Linked DNA regions of Tamandua tetradactyla. The main gene of each other region encodes a partner of the protein of the gene in region 3 in a complex. Links are inferred from orthologs where the notes say so. Each region holds a gene or a part of one and is shown on either strand. Other genes may lie near its edges.

Region 1 (7,504 bases), on a different chromosome or scaffold from region 3:
AAGTGAGGCTCCCAGCACCTGTTGTAGTTTATTTGTGAATTAAATGGGGAAAGACAGTGTTAGTCCAAGGAGAGATCAGGGGGTTCTTCCTCATCAGAGTCAAACTCAACATTCTCATCTTTCACCCATCGGCCTCGTCCATCTGGGATCCATCCAGAGCTGGAAAAACATCAGAGAAAACAGAATTGGTCAGAATGAGAAAAAGGAAGTTTGAGTCGTTAATGGGGATAAGAAAACAACAATCAAGTATGTGTGCAAAAAGGAGAGACAGAGAGCAAAGAGAAAATCCGAGGAAAGTGATTTTGCATACTCACCTTCGAAGGGTGAGGTAACGATCCAGGGCTCGTCTTCTTGTGGGGCTCATGGGTGGGGGGGCTAAGACAGTTGCTGTCTCCTTGGCCTGTGGGCCAGCCCCAGACTCAGGCTGCCTGCTGATTATCCCACTGTGGAGTTCAACCTCTGGGGGTGGTAAAGGAGAACAGGAGACAGAAGGACCAGGGGCTTCGGGTCTAGGGAGAGAAGGATAGAAGTATATAAATGCCATAAAGGAAAAGACCAACTCTTCTATGACTCCCACCCCCTAAAAGCAGTGTTGCCTAAACAACTGGTTCCTAAACTGCTTCTCAAGATATTAATAAGTGTTCTGCATATGAGGAATTTGTAATCAAATGAATTTAGGAAAAGCCTATAGTAAACAAAATTTTTAAAATATATATATTTTTAATTTTAAGACTTTGTAGAGCCTTTAAAATATGCTGATATTACTATTCCTCAAGTAAGAGTACAAAGTACTATTTCCCAAACTTTATTTAAAATCACAAAGTTTTCTTTTTCCTGAAATACCAATTAATATCTCTAGAACTCTCAAATTCCTCAGAATACAATTTGGAAAACAATATTTTTAGAGCTATCTATCTCCTTTTGCCTTCCATCTATCTAGGTCCCTCCCTGCCTTAAGACTGATTCCCATACCATATATATTTTTCCATCCATTGTCTCCATCTAACTAATGTGAAGTGAAATAACTTTTCATAGTTATTCTTCAATTCTTAATTTTTCCTAATGCAGTAATGCTCAGTGGATAAAGAACAGTCTTTTCAACAAATGATGCTGAGACAACTGAATAACCCACATGCAAAAGAATGAACTGGACCCTTACTTCAAGCCATATACAAAAAGTAACTCATTTCAATTCCCAGACCAGGCACCACCCCCCACCCCCCACCCCAAAAGTAACTCAAAATGATTATGGACCTAAATGTAAGAACTAATAGCAAAGTTACTCTTTCCCTATTCTTCATCCTCAAATCACCATATTTTCCTCTGGCTTTCCCATCCCACAGACCTGTACTTCCGACGGCAGCAACTGTTATAGTGGGGGGCTCTGTGCAGCGCACTCTGGGTGATAAATCGAGTCTGGGCCAGCAAAGGAGCCTGGCAGGGAAACAGGAGACCGAATCAGAGCCTTCAGAGCTAGAGAGGAGCCAAAGCCTTTCCAGCCTGGCGTGTGTGGCAGAGCCCTGCCTAGGATTACCTCTTGATTACCTCTGATTTGGTCTCCTCCCTCCTCAATTCATTTTGCTGTTTTGGATTCTGCTCCTTTCCCCTTCCTGGTTGCTTTTTGCCATAGAAAAGCTGCAGGCCTGAGGAGCAACGGAAAGGAAATTACAAGCAATGTACCAAGAGTGACCTGCAGAGATTTCGAGGGTCTACTCTCTGTTTCCTGTCTTCCCCCCAAACTTACTAGACAGATGTTTCTTGCCTGCACGGTGGGCAGTCAACATAGCCAGGGTGTCCAGTACAGGTCGGTGGGGACAGATGGCACAAGCAAAGCTAGGGAGGTGAGAGAAGAGGATAACTGGATCAGGAGGGTTCCTCCTACAGGTTCCACCCTGTCCCACTAGTCCTTTTCATAGGCCACTCTCAGGTTTCCCGATCTTTACCAACCATATCCCTATCTCTTCTGGTCCCTCACGCCGCACCAGAGTCCTAGTAACTCCCAGTCTTCTCCTTAACAACAACAGTTTATTGGACCTGTAACCGCAGAAACCTCAGACTTGCGTCACTCATTGCCCTCACCGTCCATCCCGCAGCATCAGTGCCTCATCCTCCGGGATATAACTGGCCAAGAGGTCACCGACTCTTCGTTTCTGCAGGGGGTGCGAGGGAAGAAATCGAACAGGGTCAAAGAAATAAGCAGGACAAAGTATGGAAGGGAAATTATAGTGATGAAGAATCAAAGGTAATAATGACCATAGAGAGAACAGCGATCAAAGGGCGAAAAGGGGGTGCACCTCCAGCTCTAGTCGCCTGGCTCCCTCCCGTCCCCGGAGCTGCTGCCTGAGCAACCCGGCAAAGCTCTTTCAAAAACTTCAGAGGGCGGCTGAAGCTGCTCCAGACCCTCCCCTTTAGCGCTTACTTTGAGCACATTGAGTTGACTCCAATCGTCCCCTTCCCTCTTGAAAGACATCGCTATCGTGAGTCCCAGCAGCCATAAACTCGCTAGCAATGCATCACCCGCACCTTTCAAGCCATCTTAGCAGGTAAAAGGTGTCTGCTTTCCCTCTCCTGGTTTCCTTCCGGTTGGCCGCCCGACTTCCGGGGACGCGGTTCCCTGTATGCACTGCGCGACGGCGAAGGGGGCGGAAGCGGCTCTGCGTTGGCTCCCGGCGCCCCCGACGCGCGGGGCCTTTCGGGAGATGAAGTCTTTTCTCAAAGGGCTGGAACCAAGGCCCTTGCATCTTGGAAGATTCGAGGCCTTTGGAGGCACAAGATCCTAGATGTGGAGCTGATGCTTGAGCCCGGATTTGAGAGTGTGACCGATGTGATGCTGAGCTGGCTTCTTAGAGTCCCTGAATGGAAGTGGACTACAAACGCTCGCCATCCTTAAGCCCTTCGTCTGTGGCGACAGCTCACCCCGAGTAGGCCTGATTTGTTCCTGACCCTAACGGACCAACCCCTGGACGGGGCGGAGCCGCAGTGGGGGAGGCCGGGCTGCCCGGCTGAGAGAACAAACTGAGAAAAGGGTGTTGCGAGGGTACCTAGAGTTCAAAAGTCAGAGGTCAGTGGAGCGAGGACTTGTGGGAGGTCGAAGGTTGGTGGGTGGCTAAAGGGAGACTCGGGAAACTGAATATTCAAGAACTAGGACTGTGGGAAAAGGGGCTTGAAAGGAGAGAGGGCGGGGAAGGGGGTGGAGTGACAGAGGCGGGAGGAGGTTTGGGGGAATAAAGGGGAGCTAAGGGCGAGGGGGTGGGTTGGGGAAGATTTAGGAAAGAAGAAGAAAGGAATACCCTGGATTTAGCCGGGCCTTCTCAGTCGCAGACTCAGCTGTCGGCAGGGTGAGGAGATGGCTTCTCCCTCTAGACAGGTTCCTCTTGGGGGTTCAGGACTGCTTCAGGGAAGCCGGGCTCGTTCTTATGGTAGCCTGGTGCAGTCTGCCTGTTCTCCAGTGAGAGAAAGACGCCTGGAGCATCAGCTGGAGCCCGGAGACACGCTGGCTGGACTAGCACTCAAATACGGGGTAACGGTGAGTCTCCCAATTAGGAGAGTTATTCCTCAGAAGAATGCTTTGGCTCCTCAAGATGAACTTCCCCTGAATGTTTCCTAACTGAGGCTGTGCTCGTGTTCTGTTTACCTATATCCTTTCGTTTGCTGACATCTCTCAGTGTTGCACTGTCTGGTCGGGACAGATCCTCTCCCACTATCCCGATAGAGAGGAGCAGCCGACTGTATGTCAGCCAGTATGCTAGTTGATTTACGTACATTGGCTCATTTGATCCTCATGTCCCTATCAAGTATACGACTATTGTCCTCTTTTTGCCGATGACAAAACTGAGACAGATTGGTTAACCAGTTTGACCCGAGTCAAATAGCTAATGAGTGTCAGCGTTGGAATTCAAACAGGTCTGTCTGACTCTGAAGCCTTACTAGCTTTTGTGGCTATTAACCACATAGATTTTTTTTTAATTGAGAGTGATTAAATATTTACAGTAGCTAATGGAGAGCTGATTTTTAGTTCTAAGTTCCTGGGTGCTTATCTTTTCTTGCTGTATTTCCCTCCTTCCGTGCTCTGCCTTCTTTCTGGTAAGGTACTCTCTTCCCCAAGTATTTCAGGTCATGTATGGGGTATTTTTGACAAGTGTAAAAATATATTGCACAGACCCTCCCCTTTAGCGCTTACTTTGAGCACATTAAAGTTGGTGAATTTTTCCCCATATCCTGTTCAATCTAACAAACAAGTATTGGATTTAGCCAACTTTGTTTTTATGCTTCATATATTTAAAGCACTGTGGTAACCATCTTGAGAGATGTGGTCATTACCATCGTGTAATTTACAGTCTAATGTGAAGTGGACAGGGACACAAATAGTGACTGCAGGTGGCAGACTGTGTTGTGAACTAGTAGAGGTATTTAATAAAGAGCAGGAAATCAGAAAAGGAGGTTAATTTTTATTCAGAGGGGGACAAGGGGGGGAACACTAGTGCAGATTTTTCAGGGAGCCAACACCATGGACCTTGAAAGACTTAGAAGTTCCTTCCTCTGTGGCCCCCTCTACTATGTAATACCAGTTGTTTGCCATCTTTGTCTTTCCAGCAGCCTATACTCTCCTTAAGGGTAGAAACCATTTCAACCTTATATTCCTAGAGTCTGGCACAGCGCAACACATAGAAGCTGAACAGATGTTTTTTGAATGACTGAATGGATATGGCTAAGATTTCTATCCATGGAGTATAGGAAAGAAAATATTTCAAGTATAGGGAATGCCCTCAGCAAAGGAAGCTGGTATGGAAGTACAGGACAGCCCCTGGGTCTCAGCTGGGGCCTAGAAGCCATGCATAGATGCATCTGAGCCACCAGTGAATCATTTAGTATTTAATATTTACAATAAATATCAGAGAATTTTTTTTTTCTCCCATTCCGTGTCCCCCTAGCCACCCTCTGTCTCACACGCTTTCGTGTGTGCACACGCTAGATCATGTACCCAGCAGTTCTCCCCTGGAGGCAGTTCTCCTTACATGACCAGGGAGCATTGGGGAATGTGTGCAGTGGGAGTTGTCACCATTTAGTGCGCAGGGGCCTGGGGTGTCAAGCGTGCAGCACTGCCTGGGGCACCCCCACAGTGAAGAACTGCCATGCCTACAGTGCCAACAGAACCTCACCACGTTTTGCCAAACTGAATTTTCTCTCAGTTTCACCTTTGGAAATTATGCATGCTTGTATACATGTTAGAAATTATCGTTGCTATCATTCCCCTTTTCTTTTTCACCTGGCTAATTCTCATTCAGCCTTTGGGTCTCTGCTTAAATGTTACTTTAAAATATATGTATATTCTTTTTATTAGAGAAGCTGTGAGTTTAGGAAAAATCATGCATCAAATACGGGATTCCCTTATGCCACCCTATTATTAACACCTTGCATTGGTGCGCTACATCTGTTACAGATGATGAAAGCACGTTTTTATAATTGTACTATTACCTATAGTCCATAGTTTAAATTAGGGTTTACTGTGTTGTGCAGTGCCATGGATTTTTTTTTCTTTTAGTAACATATATACAACCTAAAATTTCCCCCTTTTAATCACATTCAAATGTATAACTCATTGCTGTTAATTATGTTCACCATATTGTGCTGCCATCACCACCATCTATTACCAAAACTTTTCTGTCGTCCTGAATAGAGACTCTGTACATTTTAAGCCTTAACTTCCTATTCCCTACCCTGCCCCCACATTCCCATCCCCTCGTAACCTATGTTCTAGATTCTGACTCTGTGAGTTTTCTTATTCTAATTATTTGATATCAGTGAGGTCACACAATATTTGTCTTTTTGTCTCTGGCCTGTTTAACTCAACATGATGTCTCCACGGTTCTTCCAAGTTGTCACATGTATCAGAACTTCATTTGTTTTTGCAGCTGAGTAATATTCTGTTGTATATACCACATTTTGTTTATCCATTCATCTATCGATGGACACTTGAGTTGCTTCCATGTTTTAGCAGTTGTGAATTATGTCACTTATGAACATTAGTGTGCAAATATCTGTAGTCTAAGGAAGAAGAGTCCTATGTTCTAGACCCATTCTGCTGCTTACTAGCTGAGTGACCACGTAAGTCATTTCCTTTTACTGAGGCCTCAGTTTCTTCACCATTTGTAAAATGAAGAAATGTATTAAATAATGATATATAATTATATAATATATAATAATGATAGTAAAGTTATTATCTCCCTACCATTTATTTACTATGTGTCAAGCTCATAAACGTATTATCTCATTATTTTTGTAAGACTCTGTGAGGTAGGTGTAACTATCCCTTTAAAGTTGAGGAAACTAGGACTTAGGGAGATAAGATAACCTGCCATATATCAATGCAACTAGTATATTGGTAGAGATAGGGTTCAGGCTAAATTGTCTCCTTCTGAAACCTTCACTTTTAACTGCTCTTTTACACAAACTAGATTCTAAAGGCATTTCTAGCTCTGTGGCTATGGCTAAATTTTGGCCTCAATTATATCCCCCTTTTTAATAGTGGTAACATATATATAGCATGTAGTTACATTTCCAGGAAAAAATAAAAGCAACAGAAAATTCAGAGTAACTCATAGCGTCTTGGAGCTGGAAGGGACCTAGGATATTATCTAGACAAACTAAAATTAAAAGCATGAAAGCACTTAGCAAGTTTAAAGTACAAAAGTACAAGCCAGTTTTACTTTTTTTTTTAATTGTTCAGTTTAATCCAGTTTTCTTTTTAAACGTATTATAATAGAATAAGATTTTGTTGGTCAAGTTTATTATAGTAGTCTTCCCCCAGGGTGGAAACAGCTTTGATATTTGACAAATATAAGAAATATGCTTTCCGTACTGGTGCCAATATGAGGTGAGTTTTCAGTAAAACTGGCAACCTGACTTTCTGATAGTAAAATACTGATAGGTTATGTCTATGGTTTCTCTATTTATTATCTGGTTTATTTATTATAAAGCATTCATGAGCCCCTGGTATGTGCCAAGCATTGTGGAGCATTGAAGAGCACCGTGGGATATAGAGACATCAAGTTATCATCACTGCCCTTAGAGGACACACAGGCTGGCAGGCAAGACAAAACGCAGAGATGATTAACTGTGTAATAGGAGAGTATTATTGCAGCAATACTTACAGATGCTTTGGGAGCCCTGAAGAAGGACTATCACAAAGACGGTGATAGTGATAGTTGATAAGTAGAAGTTTTCCAGGCAGAGAAGGGGCTACGAGGAAGCATTTCAGTCTGAAGGAATATTATGAGTAAAGACACAAAAATGTGAAAGAACATGAAATGTTCAAAGAACAGTGCAAAGTTGAGACTACAAAATGTATTGGCAGAAGAAGAGAGATGAGGGTTTACATTTTCTACAGGGGCTCTATTGAGAAAGTCCTTGAATGCTAATTTGGATTTCTTGTTTAGCTGGTAGGGAACCATAGGAGGTTTATAAGTGAGATTGCTTTGTGGTTTGATCTGAATTTTTTTTCAGA
Region 2 (7,147 bases), on a different chromosome or scaffold from region 3:
CCTCCTTTGGCCCCAATAAGCACAAATAGTGCCTTCTCCAACTACTGGACTTCCTAGCCAGTAACTGACTGAAGCCTCAAATGGGGCACAATGAACACCAGAGAGATCTGAGGCACCCAAAGGCCTGTGGTCCAAGCTCCAAAACTCTTCCAAGAGTCCAGGCCAACCCGTATGAACACAAAATGGACTAAAATGCCCCTAGATATCTAAACTAGTGGACTAATTGGTTAAAAGAAATCAAGTTTCCTGTGAAGCCTCACACCCAGACTAAAATCCAACATGTACCTCAGAAACTTACATAAACCTTGGCTAAACCCCTTATACTTCGTTCACCTCCTAGTAAACGGCTACTTTTCCTTGGTTCCAAACATTCACAGCTCCTAAAAACTATCTGAATATTTCATTCCTTCAATATTTTTCCCAAGAGGAATTCCCACGATCAGCATGCTGTTCCTTCAATGCTAACTCCTGTTAAATATTAGTTTTCAACTCAGAGCTCTACTTAAATTCATCAAATCAGCCTTCTCTGTTCTAATTCATCCCATACCTTTCACTATACTCCTTGCCTCATAAGCTTACTCAAAAGACCTTCCCTCTCTATACCTCACTTTCATTAGTCAACCTGTCCTTGGTTTTCCCTACCAAACCCCTGTATCTCACTTTCTAGTTTTCTCTCCTAGCCCTGTCTTCTCCCTGTCATGTTAATCCCATGCCTCCCACCACGTTCTATTCTTTCAACTTGTCCCACCACTAACAAGACCCTGAAGAACCATCGAGTCCCAGTTTTTCCAGTTAGATTTTGTGACTCCACACACTCCATTCCTTTCTCCCACTCATCCTCTCCAAGACAATTTCACAGAGCATGAGCGTATGAGAAAAAGACCCAAGGAACGGCTAAAGAAAAGAATACAGAAATAATCAGATAAAAGGAAAGGAGCATCATACAAACAGATATACTAGGGGAAAAAGAAAAAAAAAGCATGGAACGATTCTGAACGAACAGAATGGATAGCTCAGTTTCACAACAATTTACCCCATAAAACTAAGGCCGGTTCCCTGCCCAACCCCAGCAGAAAACCTAAGACAGAATTAAAAGCAGAAAAAGATAGGTATAACGCCTTTCAAAAAATAACTTTTTTCAAAGGTAAGGGAGTGGCAAATGAGGCCAAATCTAGAAAAGGCAAGTGGAAAGGCCCAAGAAAATGAAAAAACTTCCTTATAGCCCAAGAAATCAGCTATTACTGTACCCTCCCACTGTCACTTTCGTTTTTTTCCAATACCAATCCTCCCCACTCTAAAGCCCTCTTTGCCTCTCTACACCCCACCTAACTTTCCACTTCCCCCACACAATGCTTCTGACCATTCTTCAGCTTACTTAACCATTCACCCGCACTTCCACACCACCTCACACAAAAATCCTCCCACTCCCCAGGGAGAAAAAACTAGTAGCTGCCAAGCAAAGGGTATTTAGTCACAATGAATTGGAGAACTTTTAGGACACGATCAAATCAAACGAAACAAAAGAGAAAAAAACAAACAAAAACACCAGGGCAACCAAGGAGGTTCTCAAAACACTAAAAGAAGGGACCAAGCAGGAGAAGGAACTTCATAAAACAGGAATTTTAAACCGGGGTCCAAAGACTGTGGGCATGCACAGATGATCCGATGTAAAAATAGAAAGTTAAATCAAACTGCAAAGGAAGGCAAAAGAGACATTCTTCTATGGGAAAATCATCAGGATCCCAAATCAGGAGATAGACGGGAATATCGAAATTTAAAAATCAAAAAATGAAATAGCACCACAAGGAGGGAAGGTGTACAGGGACACATAGGTAACATGGCAAGACCGGGGCTGGGACGTTGTAATAGGTGAATAAACACTATGGAACTCAGAAAAGTAAACTGTGATCTCAGGAAGAGACCTAAACCCACACAACTAACACGGAAGACCCCAAAATAGATTTCTTCTGAATTTTTTTGTATCTAAAGGACATCTCAGAGACGCCATGTGGAAACCAGGGCTCAAAAAAATTGCGGCCCAAAGAGCGCTTGAAACAGGAAGCCAAGTCTCTAGGTCTGGAGTTTTATTTCCAACGAAGGGCTCCAACAGTCTCCTTAGGTTTAACGATTTGGGGGCAGATAATGAAAATATGAAAAAAAGAGCACACATAATACCTTACATACCTAGGCTGAATACGCAGGAATTTTTTTTAAAGGTCCCACCCTCAATCCTCTAATAAAACGACTTCAAGATGCCTAAATCTCGGGGGCATCTAGTACTAGGCATTCCCTGAACTAGCTGGGCCGCGCACGCCTATTTTCGGCCTTGAGGGATGGGGGAGGGGGCTGCGCGGCGCCCCGCAGTCTGGGAGGAGCCGGACCAACGAAGCCTCCGGGTTTGCCAACAGGCCCCCGAGAGGGACGGGGAAGCCCAGTGCCGGAGAGATCGCCGGAGAGAAGGCCCGGGAGAAGGCTCCCGGCCGCCCCCCACCCCACCCCACCCCCCAAAAAAGGCCGAAATGAACAGCGGCGGCCCCAGGACCGGGGGCGGCGAGAAGACGGGGCGCGCGCGAGCCCGAATGCGGCCGGCGGCGCGCGCCGTTGCCATGGGGGAAGGGAGAGAAGCCCTTGAGCTACGAGAACCGAGGGAGGGGGAGGGGAAGCAGGCAAGCGAGGGCGTCCGCGCGAGCTAGGAGCATCCAACGCGCGTGCGCGAAACGGCCTAGGCCGTTCTCCCCGCGCTTTGGCCTCGCGCCGGGGCCGCCGTGCGGCTGCCCCTCCCCCACCCGGTCCGCGCGCTCCCTCACCCTCTCACCCGCCGCCGCCGCCTCCTCCGCCCGCCGCCTCCGAGGGGGAGAGGTACTGCCGCTGTCTGAGCTCTCGAGTCCCTCGGGGCCTGGAGCCGCAGCCTACACCCGCCGATCCGCCCGCCTCAGCCGACGCCGACGCCTCTCTGCTTCCTCAGGGGCCGCAGCAGGCTCCGACTGCGCCACTCGCTCCCCGCCTGGGCCGCGCTGCACGTCAGCACGCCTGACTAAGCGCGTCAGCACGCAGCCGCGCGCGTCGCAGGGCCCGCCGGGAATCGTAGTATGCCCTGCACACTTTTGCGCAGGCGCCAAAGTCACACCGGGAAGTGTGGTTTCTTAAGGCCCGAAAGTGGTGACTCGTGGCTGCGAGTCACCGAGAACTGCGGGTCCCGTCGGCCAATACAAGGAAGGTGGGGGGAGCGGCCGGAGCGAGTAACGTATTCCGGAGGCTTTCTGCTGGGGAGAACGACCCACAGCTGAGCGCCACCTCGACCGTCGCTCTAGCGCTCCTCGGCCGCCCGCCTTCCGCCGCAGAGCATTCTGGAAGTTGTAGTTCTTGCATGGCGAAGAACCCGTATGTAGCGTCGGTCAGGGGTGCGGGCGCCATCTTGTCTCCCCATTTTGGGAGGCGATGGCTCAAGCCCCGCAACAAAGCTCCTGCCATGTGAGTGCGGGCTCGAGGGGCGCGCTGGCGTCCATGCGGCTCCCAGCCTTGGTTCCGGGGAAAGCCGTCCCGGACCCCGGACGATGGGCCCCCCTGGCCCAGACACAGGCCGAGCTATGCTGGTGGTGGTCGCAGGCTTCACTCGTGCAGACCGCGCGGAAAGGTGGCAGCTTGCCCCCGGAGATAGTTTTCGGTTATCCCCTAGTAAGGCGACCTGGCAGAGATGCAGTTTTCTCTTACTTAACTTGGAACGTGTTAGACGTAAATGTATACACACGGAGATGTGACAGGAAAAGAAAAAGTTATGATCACCCCTCCCCCTTAAAAAATTAAATCCATTTTTCTGATCCCAAGAAGCAGCCAGTCTCTTGGAGCAGAGATATAAGAAATTGGGCTTTTCAGACGGGCCAAAGTTTAAATCTGGCTCCACCGCCTGTGGCTATCCTGGTTCTCTCCAGTGTCCTCACCCCCTTCCTAGGGCCTACGGTCGCCATCCCACACGCAGGTTTTGAGAACATCCTTGCTCACAGGACACGCTCGTCGCCGGCCTCGGCACTGGGGATCTTGACTTTGCATGGGAGCTGTGGCTTCAGTTTGCAGGGAATTGCCCTGAATCCTACCTCTTTGAGCCGTGGCCTTTGGCCAGTGCGTCCCTGAGCTGGACGCTCCTCAGGGAAACTATGGCTATGGAAAGCTTTTGTCTTCCTGGGCCTGAGCTGTTTGGCGTTCCTGAGGTGGAGGCTGGAGGCTGGAGGGTGGGGGGGTTTTAAAAAGAAGTATTCCAACCCAACTCCTGAGGAGCCGGGGTGGGCACATTCTCAACCCGAAAGAGCACACCGGGCACGGGGTTTAGACATGACTTCTTAGCAGAAGATTCTTCTTGACGGCGGTGTCCTGCGGGGAGGTTGAGGGGTGCAAAGGATAGCTTGTGAGGGTTTAGGACAGAGACATTCCGTGGGGTGTAGGAGCAGAGCTTCAGCAGGTGTCCTGGCACAGGGGTGTGGAGATGTGTTATTACCGTGCTGGGGAAGAGGAGTTTCAGTGCCCTCACAAGGTAAGCGGCGTGTGATGCCATCTGTACCGTCTTTCCTCCTTGAGGGGGGCGTCATGTAGGCAGCTAGTGCCTAACTCCCCTTCGGAACGGAGGTGGGGCCCAGGCCCTGGGTCTCCCCAACCACCTTCCCAGTGAAACCCTTCCCTGACACCCAGCGTCCCGTGAGAGTCTTCCCTCTATTTATTGAATGTTTGGGGCTGAGTTCTGTGCTTGAATCAGCTCGTTTAATGCTCAGGACAACCCTATGCGGTGGGTGTTGCTCGCCGTTGTTGCTTCCTGTAGAAACGGAGCTCGAAGGATATTAAGGAATGATGAGAAAGAAAGAAAGGAAGAAGGAGAGAAAGAAAGACACAGACGGGCTCAGGGGGTCTGAAGCTTGAGTTTACTTCAGACAGACTTCAGACAATTTTATTTTATTTTTTATTAATGAAGTTTTTTTATTAATTACAAAAATTAACTAACAACATTTAGAAATCATTCCATTCTACATATGCAATCAGTAATTCTTAATATCATCACATAGATGTATGATCATCATTTCTTAGTACATTTGCATCGATTTAGGAAAAGAACTAGCAAAACAACAGAAAAAGATATAGAATGATAATATAGAGAAAAAATAAAAATAATAATAAAAATAAAAAATATATAAAAAAGGAAAAAAACAAAAAACACAAACAAACAACAAAAAAAAAACTATAGCTCAGATGCAGCTTCATTCAGTGTTTTAACATAATTACATTACAATTAGGTAGTATTGTGCTGTCCATTTTTGAGTTTTTGTATTTAGTCCTGTTGCACAGTCTGTATCCCTTCCGCTCCAATTACCCATTATCTTACCCTGTTTCTAACTCCTGCTGGTCTCTGTTACCAATGACATATTCCAAGTTTATTCTCGAATGTCGGTTCACATCAGTGGGACCATACAGTATTTGTCCTTTAGTTTTTGGCTAGACTCACTCAGCATAATGTTCTCTAGGTCCATCCATGTTATTACATGCTTCATAAGTTTATTCTGTCTTAAAGCTGCATAATATTCCATCATATGTATATACCACAGTTTGTTTAGCCACTCTTCTGTTGATGGAGATTTTGGCTGTTTCCATCTCTTTGCAATTGTAAATAACGCTGCTACAAACATTGGTGTGCAAATGTCCATTTGTGTCTTTGCCCTTAAGTTCTTTGAGTAGATACCTAGCAATGGTATTGCTGGGTCGTATGTCAATTCTATATTCAGCTTTTTGAGGAACCGCCAAACTGCTTTCCACAGTGGTTGCACCATTTGACATTCCCACCAACAGTGGATAAATGCAATTTTATTCTTAACCAGATCCTGGTTATATACCACAGGATGACAATAGGCATGCATGCATTTCCCCAGGGAACAAAGTTCTTATCTTTCAGTGTTCTTCCTTCGTACTTAAAATAACCATTTGGGGTAAACAAACATTCTCTTCCTCCTAAACTGTCTTACATAAATCAGATAACATAAAGCAGTTTACTGCCACCACCACACTAATGCCATCTACTCCCAAGTAGTTCCACAAGTCTTATATTAATCCTGTCTCCTATACCCCGTTTCCCCTGGGGAGAACAGTTAATATCCACAATCCAGTAATCAAAATTATGAAAGTACATTGAAACAGTGCTATTATCAAATCTCCAGACCTTATGGAGATGTCAACAGTTCTGGTAACAAAAAGCCCTTTATAGCAAAAGGAAGTCCAGGGTGGTGCCTGGATGGAATTCAGTTAGATTCCCTAGACCAGTACAACCTTGAGTAATTCTGACTCCTCGTTTTAATTTATCATGTTGACGTTGTTGGAGGGTGCAGGCCGTTTATCTGGTAGCCTGTCCCTCCGTTTGGGTTGGTCTGAGGTTTCATCATGATCCAGGTTATGCATTTGTGGCAGGAATCCCACACAAGCGATGTTGGTTCTTCACAGCACATGATGTCAGGAGGCTGGTGCTGCCCATTGCTGCCCCTTACTGCCAACGCTGATTTTGCTCATTAGGTTGACAGAGGGACAACCAGGTTTCTAGCTGTAAAATCGCTAGTTTAGGGGGTACAAGGGTAGTTCAGTGGTAACATCCCCACCTGCCATACCGGAGACCCGGGTTCGATTCCCTGCCCATGCACTTCCCAAAAATGACGAACAAACAAAAACCAAGCAAAAAACCAAAAATCAAAAAAATGGTGCTGCAATAAGGGGATACCTACATGGAAAAAGAGTAAAATGTGACCCCCACCATACAGTGTACAAAGAAAAAAAAATTTACTAATTTACCCTTTGTAGTTAAAAGCAGTGTTCAGAGGAGAATTTATTTAGAAACCAAGATCTGCCTACTCTGTGCGCTTAACTGTTACTAGGGTGTCATTGCTTCTGGGCCGTCTTTGAGGACAGAGCTTGGGAAATGGATAAACTTTATCCGTTAGTTCATGCTGTCCAGTACTGCAGGATCCCTTTTGTCCTTTCCCCTCTCCATGTTAACTCCTTTTTCCAACTGTGAGAGTCCTTGCTTTGCTTTTCCAGGATATGCAAAGTTATTTGCTTAATCCTAAAATATACAAAAAGAAGTGCTTATCCCTACTCCTGCCAGAAAAAGTTGCCTGCCAATTAT
Region 3 (7,645 bases):
AGAGGGCAGAGGATGAGCAGGTGCAATGCCCACCTGTTTGCTTCACATTTGGAAACCCTGGGAAGACATCTGGAGAAGGGTGGCAGTGGATGACCTAGATAAATAGGGGATGGGCAGGATGGGAACTTTACTATTTGGGGAGTCATGTGAATATATTACCAATTTGGAAAAATTAAGTTAAAAGCAGAACTGCAGTGTGCCAATATGGAAACATTTATGAATTAATTATATTAAATTAATATTAATCTCATGAATACTGAAAAAGCTGAGATCTAGAACTGCGTGGTGGGACAGTAACAGTGATTTTAAAAAGGCTAAAACCCCACATATGTGTATGATGTCATCTTCAAGTAACATCCCTGAGAGGCGACCCAAGAAGTGAGCTGTGGTGGTGGCTTGGGGGAGGGTGGCTAGGCATCCTTTGTAGCTGTTGACTTTTGCCTCACATGTATGTATTACCCATGCAAGAAAGTAACATAAGCAAATAAATAAAGGCCAGGGGATTGGAGGGTGGGGGTAGGTTACTCATAGTGTTGCCCTTAGGTGTTGACGAGTGGGAGAAATGAGGCAGAAGAGTGCGTGGAAAATCACAATTTTGTCATATACAACTATGTCTCAATAATGCTGTTTTTGTTTTTTAAGTCCACGAACAAAAACTACCATTACAAAGGATCCCCCGGATATACGTGTGAGTGTGTTGGTGTACAAATGTGTATTGGGGTGAAGGCTGGGTAAGGGAAGGATGATCTGAGGGTCAGAGGAGGAGAAAGCTAGAGAGAAAGAGAAAGAAAAGAATAACAAAAATATAAACCACCACTTATCAAGCACCCAACCATATGCCTGATCCTCCTTTAAGCATTTTAGAAATATTAACCATGAATCCTTGCCACAAACCCAGGAGGGAAATACTACTATCATCTCTAGTCTCTGGAGTACAAATAGAGGCTTAGTGCCATGAAGGGACTCATTCAAGGTCACAGTTTGGAAATGGCAGAAACTGGTTTGAATCTACTGACTCTCTGCAACCACCATGATTATTGCCATTGTGCTGACGAGATGAAATCATGTGATGAAGGTCACATGGCTGCTAAGAGGCAGAACTGAGACAGGAACCTAGGTGGGGGCTGGCTCCTGAGTGCATGCCCATAACCACTGTACTGCACAGCTGGAGGGGCAACAAGAGACAGCCACACTATGGGGGTTTTAGATGCACATGTCTTCAGATTCCTCCAGCTGGAGCTGGGGCTGCTTCTCCAGGCCTGCACAGAACACCTCCCAGGACCCAGGTGCTCACCTGTCAAAGGCCTTCACACGGCCCAGGAGCTTCTTGTTGTTACGGCAGTTGATGAGCACTTGGGTGTTGTTCTTGACAGACTGCGTGAGTACGGAGAGGGGCCCTGTGTTAAATTCCTCCTCCTCCCGCTTCTGTAGTTCCTCTGGGGTCATCTCACTCTTGGGCTTGTTGAGGAGGCTCCTGAGGGGGCAAGCACAGGACCGTGAGTGAGAGGGGTTGGAGGTGGAGGATGAGTAGTTATGGTCTTGTCCTTGGTGACCTCCCCCAAACTTGTTCCAACTAAACCACTCTCCCGCTTAGGGCTCCAGTTCTCCTCCCTCTTAGCATCACTACCTGGATCCCTAACAGACATTTCCAACCTTGCATGTCACAGGTTGAGTTCCAGACCACTGAACCACCCAACCCACTCTATCCACAGCCTTCCCCAACTCCATACCTCAGGGAAAAATAATCGAATGTCAACTTGTCTCCTTGTTCTCACATCCTACATCTAACCTGTCACCAAATCCTGCCATCTGCCTCTAAAACATATCCAGGATCTGAACATTTCTTACCATGGTTACTACTCTGGCCTAAAATTCCATTATCGCCCTCCTGAGATCTTACTGGTTTTCCTGCATCTCCCCATGTCCCCAACAAACTATACCATGTCACTCTTCGAAACCCTCCAGTGGCTCCCATCTCAGTGTAAACAATAAACTCCAAAGTGCTCACAATGCCCTATACCTGCCCCCTCTTTCATTCTGCTCCAGCTGCAATGGTCTCTTGAGTGATCCATGAAGAGATTCCCCTAACTTTCATCTTAGGGCTTCTGCATTTGCTTTTTCCTCCGTCTGGAAATCCCCCAAATAGCTGTGTGGTTTGCTTCCCCACTTGTCTCAGATTTTTGTTCTGCTGTTAGCTTTCCAATGTGGTCTTCTGTGTTAGTTATTAAATTTATTTTCTCTCAAAATTGGCATACCCCATTGTTCTTATCATCCTCTACGGCTTCTTGATTCACTGCCCTGATCATTTAAATTTTATTTGCTTACTGTATTTATTGCCTGCCTTCTTACGCAGAAGCTGCACTGAGACAGGGAATTTTTTGCGGGGTGGGGGTTCTATTTTATTCACTGAGGCGTATAAAGCAGTGCCTGATACACAATGAGCACCCCATAATATCTGCTGAAGGAATAAATGAATGAAATCACTCCTGTGATTCATTATCCATGAAAAGCCATTTGTTTCCAAAGTCAAATTTCCAGTATTAGTCCTTTACCTCAAATCGTTTTTCCTTGAAGTCGGCACTTACTTTTCCCCAGGTCCTTTATCTGTAACATCGCTTCCCCTTAAAATTCATCTTAGCAAGTCCAGTTATCTGGCAAAGTCCCTAGCCTGTTATCTGAAAAGGCAGCTTCCTCTCCCGAACTCATGATCAGTAAAAGGCCCAAATCCCATCCTCAAACTCGCCAGAAGGAACATACGCCACTTTACCCATAAAACTTCTACCTTCGCCCCCAGCTCGCTATCAGAAAAGGGCTCTTCCCAACAGACAAATTTGTACCCCCAACCCCACTCCCGCCGCCCAGACCGGGCCGGGCCGGGCCTCACATGATAGTAGGTGAGTCCTGGAACCTCTCCCTTCTCAGGCGTGTTGCGTTTCCCTCCGCAGACAGAAAGAGAGAGAGGCGGGACTTCCGCTTCCTGCGACCTACTTCCACGGGCGCCTGCGCGAACCAGCGGTAGGGGCGTGGCCTGTTGCCATAGCAAACCCCGTCCGCCGGGCGCAGTGGTGGGATTAAAACCCTGTTTAGTAGTTCGAGGCCATTCAGGGCTCTAAAGGGCAAATGGTCTCGACGACACAGAGAAAAATAATGGGGGTCCGAGTCAATTCATTTCATTGTAGGACAGGATAGATTGAAGGGGGAAAACGACACGCCAATTCCAAATACCCGCCAGCTCTGCTTTCGGAGGCGCGACCTCCGCGTGACCAATCCGCTTCCGGCTTCAGGGGTGGGCCCCGCCCTCTTGCCCTCCCGCCCTCCCGGAAACTCCCTTTACGGTTCGGTTGATGGCCTCCACGCCGCGCAACCAATTCTTAGCCAACTCCCGGGGGGGGCGTGGACCTGCCTCTAGGTGGGCGGATGTTGTCAAGGATCAAACGCTTCTTCTGTTGGCTTCTCCTCCTCTGCTGAGGCGGAGCCTACCTCTTTCGCGATCCCTTTTGGGTTGTGCAGCCCAAAGGGAACCGACCCCAAAACCTCAAGGGGCCCATCCTCAAAACGGCAGTTCCCATTGGCTTTACTGCCTGCGGGGGGTGGGACGATGCAGTCGCTCTTGATGCTCATTGGTCCGGTGGTTCCGTGGGAAGGGACTTGGCTGGGCCTGAACGAGCTTCGCGGTCCTGGACCCTTTGCCAGGTAAAGCTGCCATGCGTCCCGGCGGCCGCGGACGGCCTCGGCTACGGCTCGGGGAACGCGGCCTCTTGGAGCCACCCTCGCCTCCCACGCGCCGCCTGCTGCCCCGGGTGCAGCTGCTGCCCCTGCTGCTGGCGCTGGCCGTGGGCTCGGCCTTCTACACCATCTGGAGCGGCTGGCACAGCGGGCCTGGGGAGCCGACGCTGGGCCGAGAGCTGCGGGTGAGGCTCCGCGCGGGTTGGGGCATGGCAGGGGCCCCGCATTCTCCGCCTCTCCTTCCTCGGATCTTGGGTTGACGTGGCTGTATCGTCCGGCCGCAGCCGCAGGTGCTGCCGTCACCGTCATTCGAGCCAATGCCCCTTGCCAGCTGAATCGGGCTTCGGGCTTGAACTGTGGTTCTCCCTTAAGAGGAAGGATCGCGAGTGATAAGACTGGGAGTTGGGAGATCGTGGTTCTAATCCCAATGTCATCTCTTTGGAAGAGTCCCTTTCTCTTTCGGGGCCTTGATTCCCCCCCCCCCCGCCCCCCAGGATTAGGGTGGGCTGGACCAGATGGGCCTCGAGGGATATTCCTGAGTCTAGGATTTATCCTAGAAGTCTTTCACGAGGAGCCAAGGATTATGAAGAGGAACCGGAGCTCCTTATGTCCAGGGTTCCAGGGTTAGGGTCTCGGTGGGGACTGCACTTACGCGCTGGTCTTCCCCACCCCCTCTTTTCCTCTCAAGACCCCGCTGATCGGAAACCTTCCCGAAGCCGGATTGCGGAGGGTGGTGGGGCAGCTGGACCCTCAGCGTCTCTGGGACACCTATCTGCGCCCCCTGCTGGTGGTGCGAACCCCGGGCAGCCCAGGCAATCTCCAAGTCAGAAAGGTAAAGGGCCCCACCTCCCAGTCCCCAACTCGCCCCGGGAATGGGAACTGAGCATTCCGCCCTAGATCACAAAGCAGCTAAGGGGCAGAGCTGGGGCTGATCTGAGTCGATTCAAACGCCCTGTGTACCGTCCCCATCAAAAGCATAAGCAACAGCTCAGTGAGTTGGTCACCAATACAATCTTCACATGCAGATGGGAAAACTGAGGCCCAGAGAGATTATATACTTGGCCCGAGTTCCATAGCTAGTAAGTGGTAGTCCTGGGGGTTGAAACGAAGCAGGCTGGCTCTGTAATATCCCAGTACTGCCTCCCAGAAAGAGTAAGGCATCACTGAATACAGGTCTGGGTTCGAATCCCAGCTTAGCCGCTTGGAATGTGAACTTGAACTAGTCTCTTATTTTGTTGTGCCTCAGTTTCCTCATATGTAAAATGGGGTCAATGTCAGTTCCTACCCCACAGAGTTCTGTAGAGTACATAGAATAGGGTCTGGTATTGAAGAGTGGGCAGTAATTAATCCTGTTGGTATCAAAAGGTAGGGTTGCCCCATACCTGGCACCCACTAGGTGCTCAGCAGATGTGTTTCAAGGGAATATGAGGTGGTCTGGCTGCTCTGCGTGATTTAGGTCATGGCCTTCCCCTGACCCACACTCCCGCCTCTCTGTTGCCACTAGTTCCTGGAGGCCTCGCTGCTAGCACTGACTGCAGACTGGCATGTGGAGCTGGACCCCTTCACAGCCTCAACACCCCTGGGGCCAGTGGACTTTGGCAACGTGGTGGCCACACTGGACCCACGGGCTGCCCACCACCTCACCCTCGCCTGCCATTATGACTCAAAGCTCTTCCCATCTGAGTTGGCCCCCTTTGTGGGGGCTACGGATTCGGCTGTGCCCTGTGCCCTGCTGCTAGAGCTGGCTGAGGCCCTTGACCTGGAGCTTAGCAGGGCCAAGCAGCAGGTGAGGAGGGGGGTGGGGTGGGCTGCCTCCACCCTCACTTGCCTGGGTGTTTATCATCCTTCCGGTCTTCTTGCCTTCATGCACAGGGACACAGGGGTCCTCCCACTTGCTGAATGTCAGAGCCTGTCCCTTCTCTGTCCCAACCTTCTCTTGATGGCTTCTGTGTCACTCAGAGCATAAGCCAGAGTCTTTGCTGCCTCTCCAATCTCATCTCCCACCCTCACCTATTACTTACTCTGCTGTAGCCACACAGGCCTTCTCAGTTTCCCCTAAACCCACGATGTTCACTCCTACCTCAGGGCCTTTGCAGTTGCTATTTTAGCTGCCAGGATCGCAGTTCAAGTATAGTGATTACAGAATGGGCTCTGGAATCAGAAAGCCCTGGGTCCAAATCCTGGTACTGCTTCTTACCAGCTCTGTGAACCTGAGTTAAGTGGCTTCAACTCTCTGAGCCTCAGTTTTCCCATCTGTAAAATGAACATCATGATGAGATAATTGGGATAGCTACTGCCTCGACTCATAGGGGTTAAATGAGACCTGGGAACCCAGTGAGCCTACAGTAGCGGGTAACCAGCATACATTCCTATTGCAGTGAATAGGACCTTATGCCCTGGCCTTCTGCCCTCCAGTTTGCACCTGCAGCATGCTTTTCTCATACCTTCCTGGCTAGCTCCCTCGCTTCATTCAGGGATCTGTTCCATCATCACCTCCTCAAAGAGGCCTTCCCAGACATCCTAAAATCCCTCCCTGTCACCATCCTGTACTTCATATTGACTTCTCGAAGCCTCACTTTCTTCACCTGGAAAATGGTGTGAATTCCTAGGGTAGGTTTTGAATCCAGGTCTTAGAACAGTGCCTGGCATCACCCCAACAAGAGTGAGCTCCCTGAGGGCAGGGAGTTGACTTCTTTTGTTCCCTGGGCCTAGAACAACTCCTGATGTAGAGTAGGACGTCAGTACAGATGTGTAGAATGAACGAATGACAACACAGATCTCATCACATTGTTTCCCTGCTCGAATCCCTACCTTGGCTCCCCAGTGCCCCCATAACAAAGCTCAAGCTGAACTTGTTGGCCCTTGCCATCCCTCTGGCCTCTTCTCACACCTCTCTGGCCCCTTCCCTGGGCCCAGTCTTGCCCTGTGCTATTTCTTTGCCCAGAACTCTCTTCCCACTGCTCCCCCATTCACTTTTTTTTAGGCCAGCTCCCTCTCACCTTCAGGGCACAACTCCTTGCCCCAGATCCAGGAACCCTCCCCAGGTCAGGCCTCTCTCCCAACCTGCTCTCCCACTGCCTGAGCTCTCAGGACACTGTAGTTCTTGGCAGCATTTGTCCTAGCTGCAGTCCACTGTTTGTATAGTTATTCATTATATAATGAATAATTGGGTCTGGCTCGTCTGCCAAACTGAGCTTGAAGAATAACAATAATAATCAGAGCCAACCCTTTGTAGTCACTATGTACCAGGCACTGTTCTAAGACCTGGATTCAAAACCTACCCTAGGAATTTACCCCATTTTCCAGGTGAAGAAAGCGAGGCTTCGAGAAGTCAGTAACTTGTCCATGACTGCTTTGTTAATATGCAGCTGAGCCTGGATTTGAATCCCTGGCAGTCTGACTCAGAGCGGGTACCCTTGGCCACCATGCTCTACAAGTGAGGAGACCTAGTCTGCCCTATTCAATTTTGTGAGCGGACAGGGTGCATGGGTGGGCTGTGGCCGCGGACCTGGCACTGGGTGGGTGCTGATACCTTCTCCTACAGGCAGCCCCGGTGACCCTGCAGCTCCTCTTCCTGGACGGCGAAGAGGCCTTGAAGGAGTGGGGGCCCAAGGATTCCCTCTATGGGTCCCGGCACCTGGCCCAGCTCATGGCATCCGAACCCCACAGTCCCGGTCCCACCAGGATCCAGGCTATCGTAAGACCAGGGCCCACTCCGGTTCCGGTGAGGGAGGCAGAGGGTGAGGCAGGGTTGGTGGCTTTGCACCCGGCCCCTCCAGCCCCGGCCTCTCTCCCTAGGAGCTCTTTGTGCTTCTTGATCTCCTGGGCGCCCCCAACCCAACCTTCTACAGTCACTTTCCCCGCACGGCCCGCTGGTTCCATCGGCTGAGGAACATTGGTAAGGGCTACGGGGGAGGCA
Region 4 (7,197 bases), on a different chromosome or scaffold from region 3:
CCCATTTCCCACTTCTATTCCAGAACTTATAATCAGCTTTGTCTCTATGAATTTCCATATTCTAGTTAGTTCACATAAGTGAAATCATACAGTATTTATCCTTTTGTGTCTGGCTTATTTCACCCAACACAATGTATTCAAGGTTTATCCATGTTGTACCAAATATCAGAACTTCATTCCTTTTTATAATTGAGCAATATTCTATCATATATATACCACACTTTATCCATTCATCTGTTGATAGCTTTTTACTTATTTAAATGATTGACAAAATTAAAAGAATAGTGTGTGGTACATGAAAATCAATGAGAGGAAATTCAAAATTTATGTCTATAAATAAATTAACACAGTCACATGCAGTCATTTATATTGTCTTAGGCTGCTTTACACTACAACAACAGAGTTGAATAGTTGCAACTGAGACTATATGATCCACAAAGCCTAAAATAAGTACTTTCTGATCATTAACCAAAAAAGTTTGCTAACCCCCTTGCTTTAGTGTATGATTCCTACAAACAAGGATATTCTCCTGTATAACCACACTACAACCACCAAAATAAAAAACAAAAAAAAATTAGTTTTGGCACATTACTACTATTTAATTCATAGGACTCCATTTAAGTTTCACATATTTCCAATAACATCCTGCACAGCAATGGATCTGATCCAGGATCACATGTTGAATTTAGTTGCGATGCCACTATTATTTCAAGCTGGAACAAGTTCCTCAGTCTTTCCTTGACCTTCATGATCATGACACTGATAGGATTACTGGCCAGTGATTTTGTAAAATGTCCCTTAATTTGGGTTTGTTGATGATTTCTCGTAACTAGATTTAGTTTATGAATCTTTGGCAGGAACACCACAGAAGTAATACCATGTTCTCCTCCGTACATTTTGTCAAGTGGCACATGATTTCAAATGGCCCCTTTAGAGGTGATGTTAACTGACTAAGGTGGTGCCGGTCAGGTTTTTCTATCGTAAAATGACTAGTTTTCCATTTGTTATTAATAAGTATTTTGTGGCTTTTTTCCACGTCAATTACTGAAATTCTATTCAAAGTGACAGTTCAAATGCCCTCCTTATAGTGAGTCAATTTTTCACTTTCCTACACTGCTACAGCACTTTGCACCTTTATCAGCATTTAATTCTGCTAACTAGTCTCACTGAGAACTCTAAACTTTCTCCACATCCTCTCCAGCACTTGTCATTTTCTGTTTTGTTGATAATGGCCATTCTGGTGGGTGTGAGATGATATCTCATTGTGGTTTTGATTTGCATTTCTCTAATGGCCAGGGACGTTGAGCATCTCTTCATGTGCCTTTTGGCCATTTGTATTTCCTCTTCTGAGAAGTGTCTGTTCAAGTCTTTTTTCATAAAATTTACAAGTAATAGACAACACAGAAGAGCATTTTTAACAGGGCTCTGGAATTGGAAGATCTAGACTCAAATCTTGACTTTGTCACTTAAAAACTGAGTGACTTCAGATAAGTTACTTCACCTCTCCAAACCTGCTTTCTCAACTGGAAAATGGAGTGAATAATTCCCACTGTGTAGTGCTGTGAGGATTAAACAAAACAGTTTGCACACAGAATTCAGCACAGTTATCATTATTTCTGGACATTCTTGAATATGGGGACCCTATACTCCTTGTGTCTACCTATAAATGCCCTAGACAGCACCTTGCATAAGTAGGGGTGGGATAAATGTTAACTATATAGAATGCCCAACTTTGAGATACTGATATTTCTTGCATTAGGTTAATCCTTCCATCTCCCTCAATACTACCTCCTCAATGCTGACCATAGATGAAATAGAGAATTGAGTCCTGTGAACCATTAATTAAATGTAAATATTAGGAAAGCATTTGTATTCACGTACTCTTTTTTACTTCCAAAGAGCTGTCACATCTGTGCTCAAGTCATCCTCCCAAGATCTCATGAAGTGACAAGAGATTCTTATACAAGGCTATTTACAGAACAAGCCTCAGATCCTCTGTATTTGCTATGCCCTCTGTATTTGTTATTCCGTCTGTCTGGAACGCTCTTCTGTTGGATATTTATGCCTTTTCCCTTCACTTCCTTTAGGTCTTTATCAAAATGTCACCTTCTCTGAGAAATCTTCCCTTGTCACTCTGAAAAAGTCCCCCACATATCCACTCTCTGCCCCTCACTTAAACTGTTTTATTATTTCCTTAATATATATCACAAGCTGACTTTCACATCTATTCGTCTGTTTATCGTTCACTGACTCTACTACACTCTAAGCAAAGACTTTGTTTTCTCCTTTATCACAGTGCCGGCACAAAAGAGACCCTCAATAAATATTTACTGATGAATGACTCCACCAAGGCACAGAGAAGCTAGGTGACTTCCTCAGTTGCACAAAGCTAGTTAGTGACTTTTGGCGCCGGTCTTCACTGCAGCTTCCCGCTATCAAGCATATTCTCAAAAAAAAAAAATCAAATAAAGAGGAAAGCAGATTGGTAAAGAAGAGGTGAAGGCGGTCCAGAAGTGGGAGTATGTGAGAAGGCTAAGCAGTTAGAGCACGACCCCTGCCAGGAACGGAATTTTATGGATGGACTATATCGAGGGAATTCAGGGATCTGAGCGGGGTGGGGAAAAGGCCTTTCTGGAGTGGTCCCTATGTTCCTTTCCTGCTCTAGGCCTCAATTTCCCCACATGTAAAGTAAAAGAACAGACAGCACATAATGCCTACTCCAGATCTGACGTTCTTTAATTTCCCATCCCACCCGGAGCAACGTTTCCATACCACTGACCCTCATCAACTCACCTGCCGCCTGCTAGCCAAGAGTCCTAACCCAGCCGCCGGCCGCCGCGCTTCCGTCCCACGCCGCGCGACACCTGAGCCCGCGTTGGGAAGGACCCCATAGACGCCTTAGTCGCGTTTCTGCCGGGAGGACAACCCTCCGCCTGAGGACTGGCTCGGAATAGCGCCGGCCGCGGAGACAAAAACCTGCGAGGAAGAGTCGTGGGTCCCCACAACAAAGCGTGGACTGTCCCACAGAGAGTAAGTCCTGAGTAGGCGTGAATTAGAGCAGGCGCCTATGGACCACCCCGAAAGGGGGCCTTCGGGCGGATCACGTGGGCAGGCTGGTGGAGCAGTTGCTAGGCAACCACAGCTGCTGGGCGCGATCTGCACTGAGTTGCTCTTTTGTCCCAATTTATCAGGGTAACCCCAAAGAAAGCAAGGCGTCTAGGGCCTGAACTGCGGGATAAAGTTCCGGGATCTGAGTCGGGGGTTAAAAGTGGAAGGGTTAGTTGTTCTATCTGTTCAATAGATAGATAGATTGGGAAGGAGTCAAGATGCCTGAGTTGAGTTTCTAGCTCACTCTGGTCCTTTCCTGTCGTTTCTCTTACCCATGCTGGGGATGGGGGTAGTAGCCGTGGGGTTGGATGAGGACCTCCTGCTTGTCTGCCTCAGGACAGTTGATAACTCCGCCACAAAATTCACCAGGAGGTTCAGAGAGATCTCAAGCAAGTAAATGTTGAAACCAAAACTAGAATCCATATAGATGACTTCCCGGTAGAAATCCATATAGATGACTTCCCTGTAGAAAGAATCGATCCGCCAAAGGTACGTGGAGGCTGCAGAATCAGAGTGGCAGAATTAAAGAGTTCATCTGAGAACATAGAAACCTGTGCTCCTCCTTGACTGGCCAGAGGCGGGGATCATTGAGCCACTTCTCTGCCATGTGTTGATTTCCTGCTCAGTCATGGCATCTAGTTTGGGTGAAAAATGCCCCTCCCTATTTAAAGTATTTCATGAAAGGTGAAATCTTACCCCAGGCTCAAGAGTAGTTAATAGTTCTTTTTTTAGTTGAAGTGGTCCATCCCAAAAATTTACCCATATGGAAGACTGGAGGGGCTGAATTCTGAAATCCAATGCCTCCTCAGACAAAGCACTCAACATTCAGATAGTTTTAGAGGCAGAGAACAAAATTAATAGGGCTCCAAACTGAAAGTTGGAACTTTGTTCTATTTTTAGTGACAAGTCTTTAGCAAGTCCCTACTCTGCTATTCAGTTCCCCTCCTTGTAAAGCAGAAAACTAGATTTTTGTATTACTGCCCCTCAACACACACACACACACATAAATACAAGGTAAGTTAATGATTCCCAGAGTGCTTTTGGATCATTTTGTGGGATGGCAAAGAATCCAGAGGCCCCAGCATTCCCTTATATTGACCCTCTGCTAATATCCATTTTCTTTGCCTTCCCAGGTACAAGCCATGGAAAGGAATGATGTCATCAACTTCAAGGCTTTGGAGAAAGAGCTGCAGGCTGCACTTGCTGCTGATGAGAAGTACAAGCGGGAGAATGCTGCCAAGTTAAGGGCAGTGGAACAGAGGGTGACTACGTATGAGGAATTCAGGTTGACTCACTGTCATTTTTCTCAGGCCTCTCTTATGGTAACAATAGTGGAAAAGAACAGGGACTCTAGAGTCAGACAGTTCTGGGCTTCATTCCTGGCCTCACCTTTTACTAGATGTGTGATCTTGTGCACATTACTTAACCTCTCTGGGCCTCAATTTTCAAAGAGAGTAGCCCTTGTATCGATTAAATGAGTTGCTGCACAGTAGACACACAAGAAGTATTCAATAACCTTTGGCTATTGTTGCTGTTACTATTATCATTATTGTTATGTTGGTTTGTCAACAGATTCAGCCTGTAGTGAGCCAAGCCCAGCTACCTTCCATTCACAGAGCATTACATCCATTCCTCCATCTCTGTCCTTTGCCCACAGGGGTATTGTCCTTGCCTCCCATCTGAAGCCTCTGGAGCGAAAAGACAAGATGAGAGGAAAAGCGATTGTGTCCTGGAACTGTCACACAACTCCGGGACATACCTCCCAGGATGAGGCTACTGAAATCTCACAGGTAGGGGTGGGCCCAGCCTCTTCAGCCCAGCAAAATTCTCTGCCCTGAACATGCAATCCTGTCTTCTTACAACACATACCTATTCCTTATTTTTAGTGTAAGGACAACAGAGACAGATTTCTGCCTCTAATCCCAGAAAGGAAAGCAACCAGAGGATGGTGGGGCCAAGTTGGGTTCGGCAGGTCAAGTCAGAAATTTGGGCTCCGCAGGTCCCCTTCTGTCAGTCCTTTGACTTTCATTCCCAGATAAGGCTGGAGTTTCTCTGCCTCCAGGTTGTAAATACTATAATGATCTTTTGGCAGTGTTGAGAGGGAGACCTAGTCTGTCAGATCCTTGATACTCACCTCGAATTCATTCTTCTTCTTGAGATTTCCAATCATCCCCTACACCCTGGTCACAGTAAACCATGACTTACTCTCTTAGATTGGGATCATGTCCCCATTCATCAGTGGGAAAATCTTATACAACTGAGGGCTCTCCCTTCCTGTCCCAGCTCCCGCATTTGAAAATGAGGCCCATAGGGACCACAACCAGTACTCAGATAGCACTATCAGAGTAGCAATTTCCCTCCCTCTCACTGCCCCAGAGCAGCTGGACAAGCTCTGGACTCTCTTTCTTTCCTTTGTAATCCAGGAGAAAACACTCCTCCAGCCTGAGACCTCAGCAGAGTTCTACCGCAATTGGCGACGATACTTGCAGAGTGGACCAGAGCGCTACCAGGTCCTGCTACAGCTTGGGGGTCCCAAGCTGGGTCACCTCTTCCAGACAGATGTAGGGTTTGGACTTCTAGGGGAGTTGTTGGTGGCCCTGGCTGATCACATGAGGCCAATTGACAGGGTGGCAGTACTGGGTATCTTGCGCAGTCTGGCCAGTACTGGACGCTTCACCTTAAACCTGAGCTTGCTGAGCCATGCAGAGAAGGAGAGCTGCAGAAGCTTGTTTCAGAAGCTTCAGGCCATGGGTGCCCCAAGTCCCATGAAAGAAAGGCTCAGCCAGGAGAAGCAGGGTCTGGAGGAGCAACCTGAAGGGCCCCAAGATGAAGAGAGGCTCCTGCAGGAGCTTCTGGGACTGTACCAGATGGACTGATAGGACCATCTGCTCTCAGAGGCCCCCAGAGACCACTCAAGGCATTTTGTTGTTGTCTTGGGGGCTCTGCAGGACTGCAATGAGAAACTCACCCCTAATGCCCTTCTCAACTTGGAATTTTCTGAGCAAGAGCAGGAATCGGATCTTTCCCACTTCTCTAACCCCTAGTGGCTCCATGTTTGGAACTCTGGATCCAAAGGGTAGTCAATGGCCCAAGAGTTTGAAAGCAGTTTTACTTCCCACCTTTAGAACCTATCTAAGCCTTTATCCCCTCTCCCAGCTTCCCCTGGCTCTGAGAGATGGCTACATCAATAATGCTCTTCACTCAAAAAAAAGAGAAAGTAAATCCTTAATCCTTCATAGTAAATAAGTGATCTCCACCGCTCTTAATAAGAATATTTATAACCCCAAACCAATGAGTGGCTATTACAACCACAAATGATCAAAAGCTACCTCATTTAGGGTGTAGCATTTCTCCCCAGGGACTGGGCTTCTTTGCAGGTTGGTCCTGGGAAAGTCCCAAGCTATGAGCTCAGGTCTGGCCAGCCCCCCAGACTTCTTCAGATGGCCATGTGTGGTGGCATGAGGATTTCCTTCATCTCTCAGACTGACAGAAAGGAAGACCCTTCCACCAAGTAGGCAGGGCAGGGTAGAGCCTAGAGTGAGGCAGAAATTTTTTCATCCCAGCCACTGGGCCCTTGCTTTTCATTGGTTTCCCCTGACCCATTCTTGGATGAGTGCCAGAGTTCTAGAAAGGCGAGTGAAGGCCAGGTTCTAGAATGGTTTCCTCATGAGACCAGGTCTGGAACATTTGAAGGCCATTTTGTATATCAGCTGGGAATAAATTGCCTTGGCTTTGGCCACTTCCTCCACAGAGTGTAGTTTTTTTTTCCTCGCTGAGTAATCCTTTGCTCCCATCTGCCCCTGCTCTCAGCAGGGATTTTTAGATGCCACAGGGCCTTTAGTGCCTTGGTTTTGCACCTCCCCCTCTGAACCTGCTCTCCTGCAGGCATGAGCCTGGCCCACACCACCGTGCTCCTGTGGGTCTGGGGAAGTCTTCAGGCCTTTGAAATCGTGGAGAAGGAGAACATTTTTCAGAAGACCCCCTGCCCGGCTTTTTTGATGTTTGACAATGCAGCCTACCTGGCTGACATGAGCTTTGAGCTTCCCTGTCACTGCAAGCCTGAGGAGGTGCCGGCTGTAGTCTGGTACT

Evidence for each region.
Region 1: SNRPD2 (region 3) and SCNM1 share a complex: the UniProt entries of both Homo sapiens proteins name them as parts of the minor spliceosome. The link is inferred for Tamandua tetradactyla from reciprocal best matches to the Homo sapiens genes SNRPD2 and SCNM1.
Region 2: SNRPD2 (region 3) and SRRM2 share a complex: the UniProt entries of both Homo sapiens proteins name them as parts of the minor spliceosome. The link is inferred for Tamandua tetradactyla from reciprocal best matches to the Homo sapiens genes SNRPD2 and SRRM2.
Region 4: SNRPD2 (region 3) and EFTUD2 share a complex: the UniProt entries of both Homo sapiens proteins name them as parts of the minor spliceosome. The link is inferred for Tamandua tetradactyla from reciprocal best matches to the Homo sapiens genes SNRPD2 and EFTUD2.

What each region holds. Positions count from the first base shown.
Region 1 is NC_135330.1:4,391,522-4,399,025, forward strand, and holds SCNM1 (sodium channel modifier 1), read right to left. Parts: upstream 3,017-7,504; 5' UTR 2,471-3,016; coding exon 2,420-2,470; intron 2,151-2,419; coding exon 2,080-2,150; intron 1,834-2,079; coding exon 1,745-1,833; intron 1,644-1,744; coding exon 1,546-1,643; intron 1,435-1,545; coding exon 1,346-1,434; intron 510-1,345; coding exon 315-509; intron 160-314; coding exon 60-159; 3' UTR 10-59; downstream 1-9. Other genes in the region: LYSMD1 (lysM and putative peptidoglycan-binding domain-containing protein 1), read left to right, coding at 3,347-3,526. UniProt on the Homo sapiens protein: As a component of the minor spliceosome, involved in the splicing of U12-type introns in pre-mRNAs. Plays a role in the regulation of primary cilia length and Hedgehog signaling.
Region 2 is NC_135349.1:54,601,729-54,608,875, reverse strand, and holds the start of SRRM2 (serine/arginine repetitive matrix protein 2), read right to left. Parts: upstream 3,021-7,147; 5' UTR 2,816-3,020; intron 2,467-2,815; exon of another isoform or gene 2,185-2,466; intron 1-2,184. UniProt on the Homo sapiens protein: Required for pre-mRNA splicing as component of the spliceosome. As a component of the minor spliceosome, involved in the splicing of U12-type introns in pre-mRNAs.
Region 3 is NC_135342.1:15,336,446-15,344,090, reverse strand, and holds the start of SNRPD2 (small nuclear ribonucleoprotein Sm D2), read right to left. Parts: upstream 3,016-7,645; 5' UTR 2,887-3,015; coding exon 2,885-2,886; intron 1,475-2,884; coding exon 1,295-1,474; intron 1-1,294. Other genes in the region: QPCTL (glutaminyl-peptide cyclotransferase-like protein), read left to right, coding at 3,705-3,911, 4,415-4,558, 5,231-5,512, 7,271-7,423, 7,525-7,624. UniProt on the Homo sapiens protein: Plays a role in pre-mRNA splicing as a core component of the spliceosomal U1, U2, U4 and U5 small nuclear ribonucleoproteins (snRNPs), the building blocks of the spliceosome.
Region 4 is NC_135332.1:22,527,515-22,534,711, reverse strand, and holds the start of EFTUD2 (116 kDa U5 small nuclear ribonucleoprotein component), read right to left. Parts: upstream 3,005-7,197; 5' UTR 2,794-3,004; intron 1-2,793. Other genes in the region: DNAAF19 (dynein axonemal assembly factor 19), read left to right, coding at 4,251-4,393, 4,766-4,898, 5,532-5,984; Ig-like V-type domain-containing protein FAM187A, read left to right, coding at 6,996-7,197. UniProt on the Homo sapiens protein: Required for pre-mRNA splicing as component of the spliceosome, including pre-catalytic, catalytic and post-catalytic spliceosomal complexes. Component of the U5 snRNP and the U4/U6-U5 tri-snRNP complex, a building block of the spliceosome.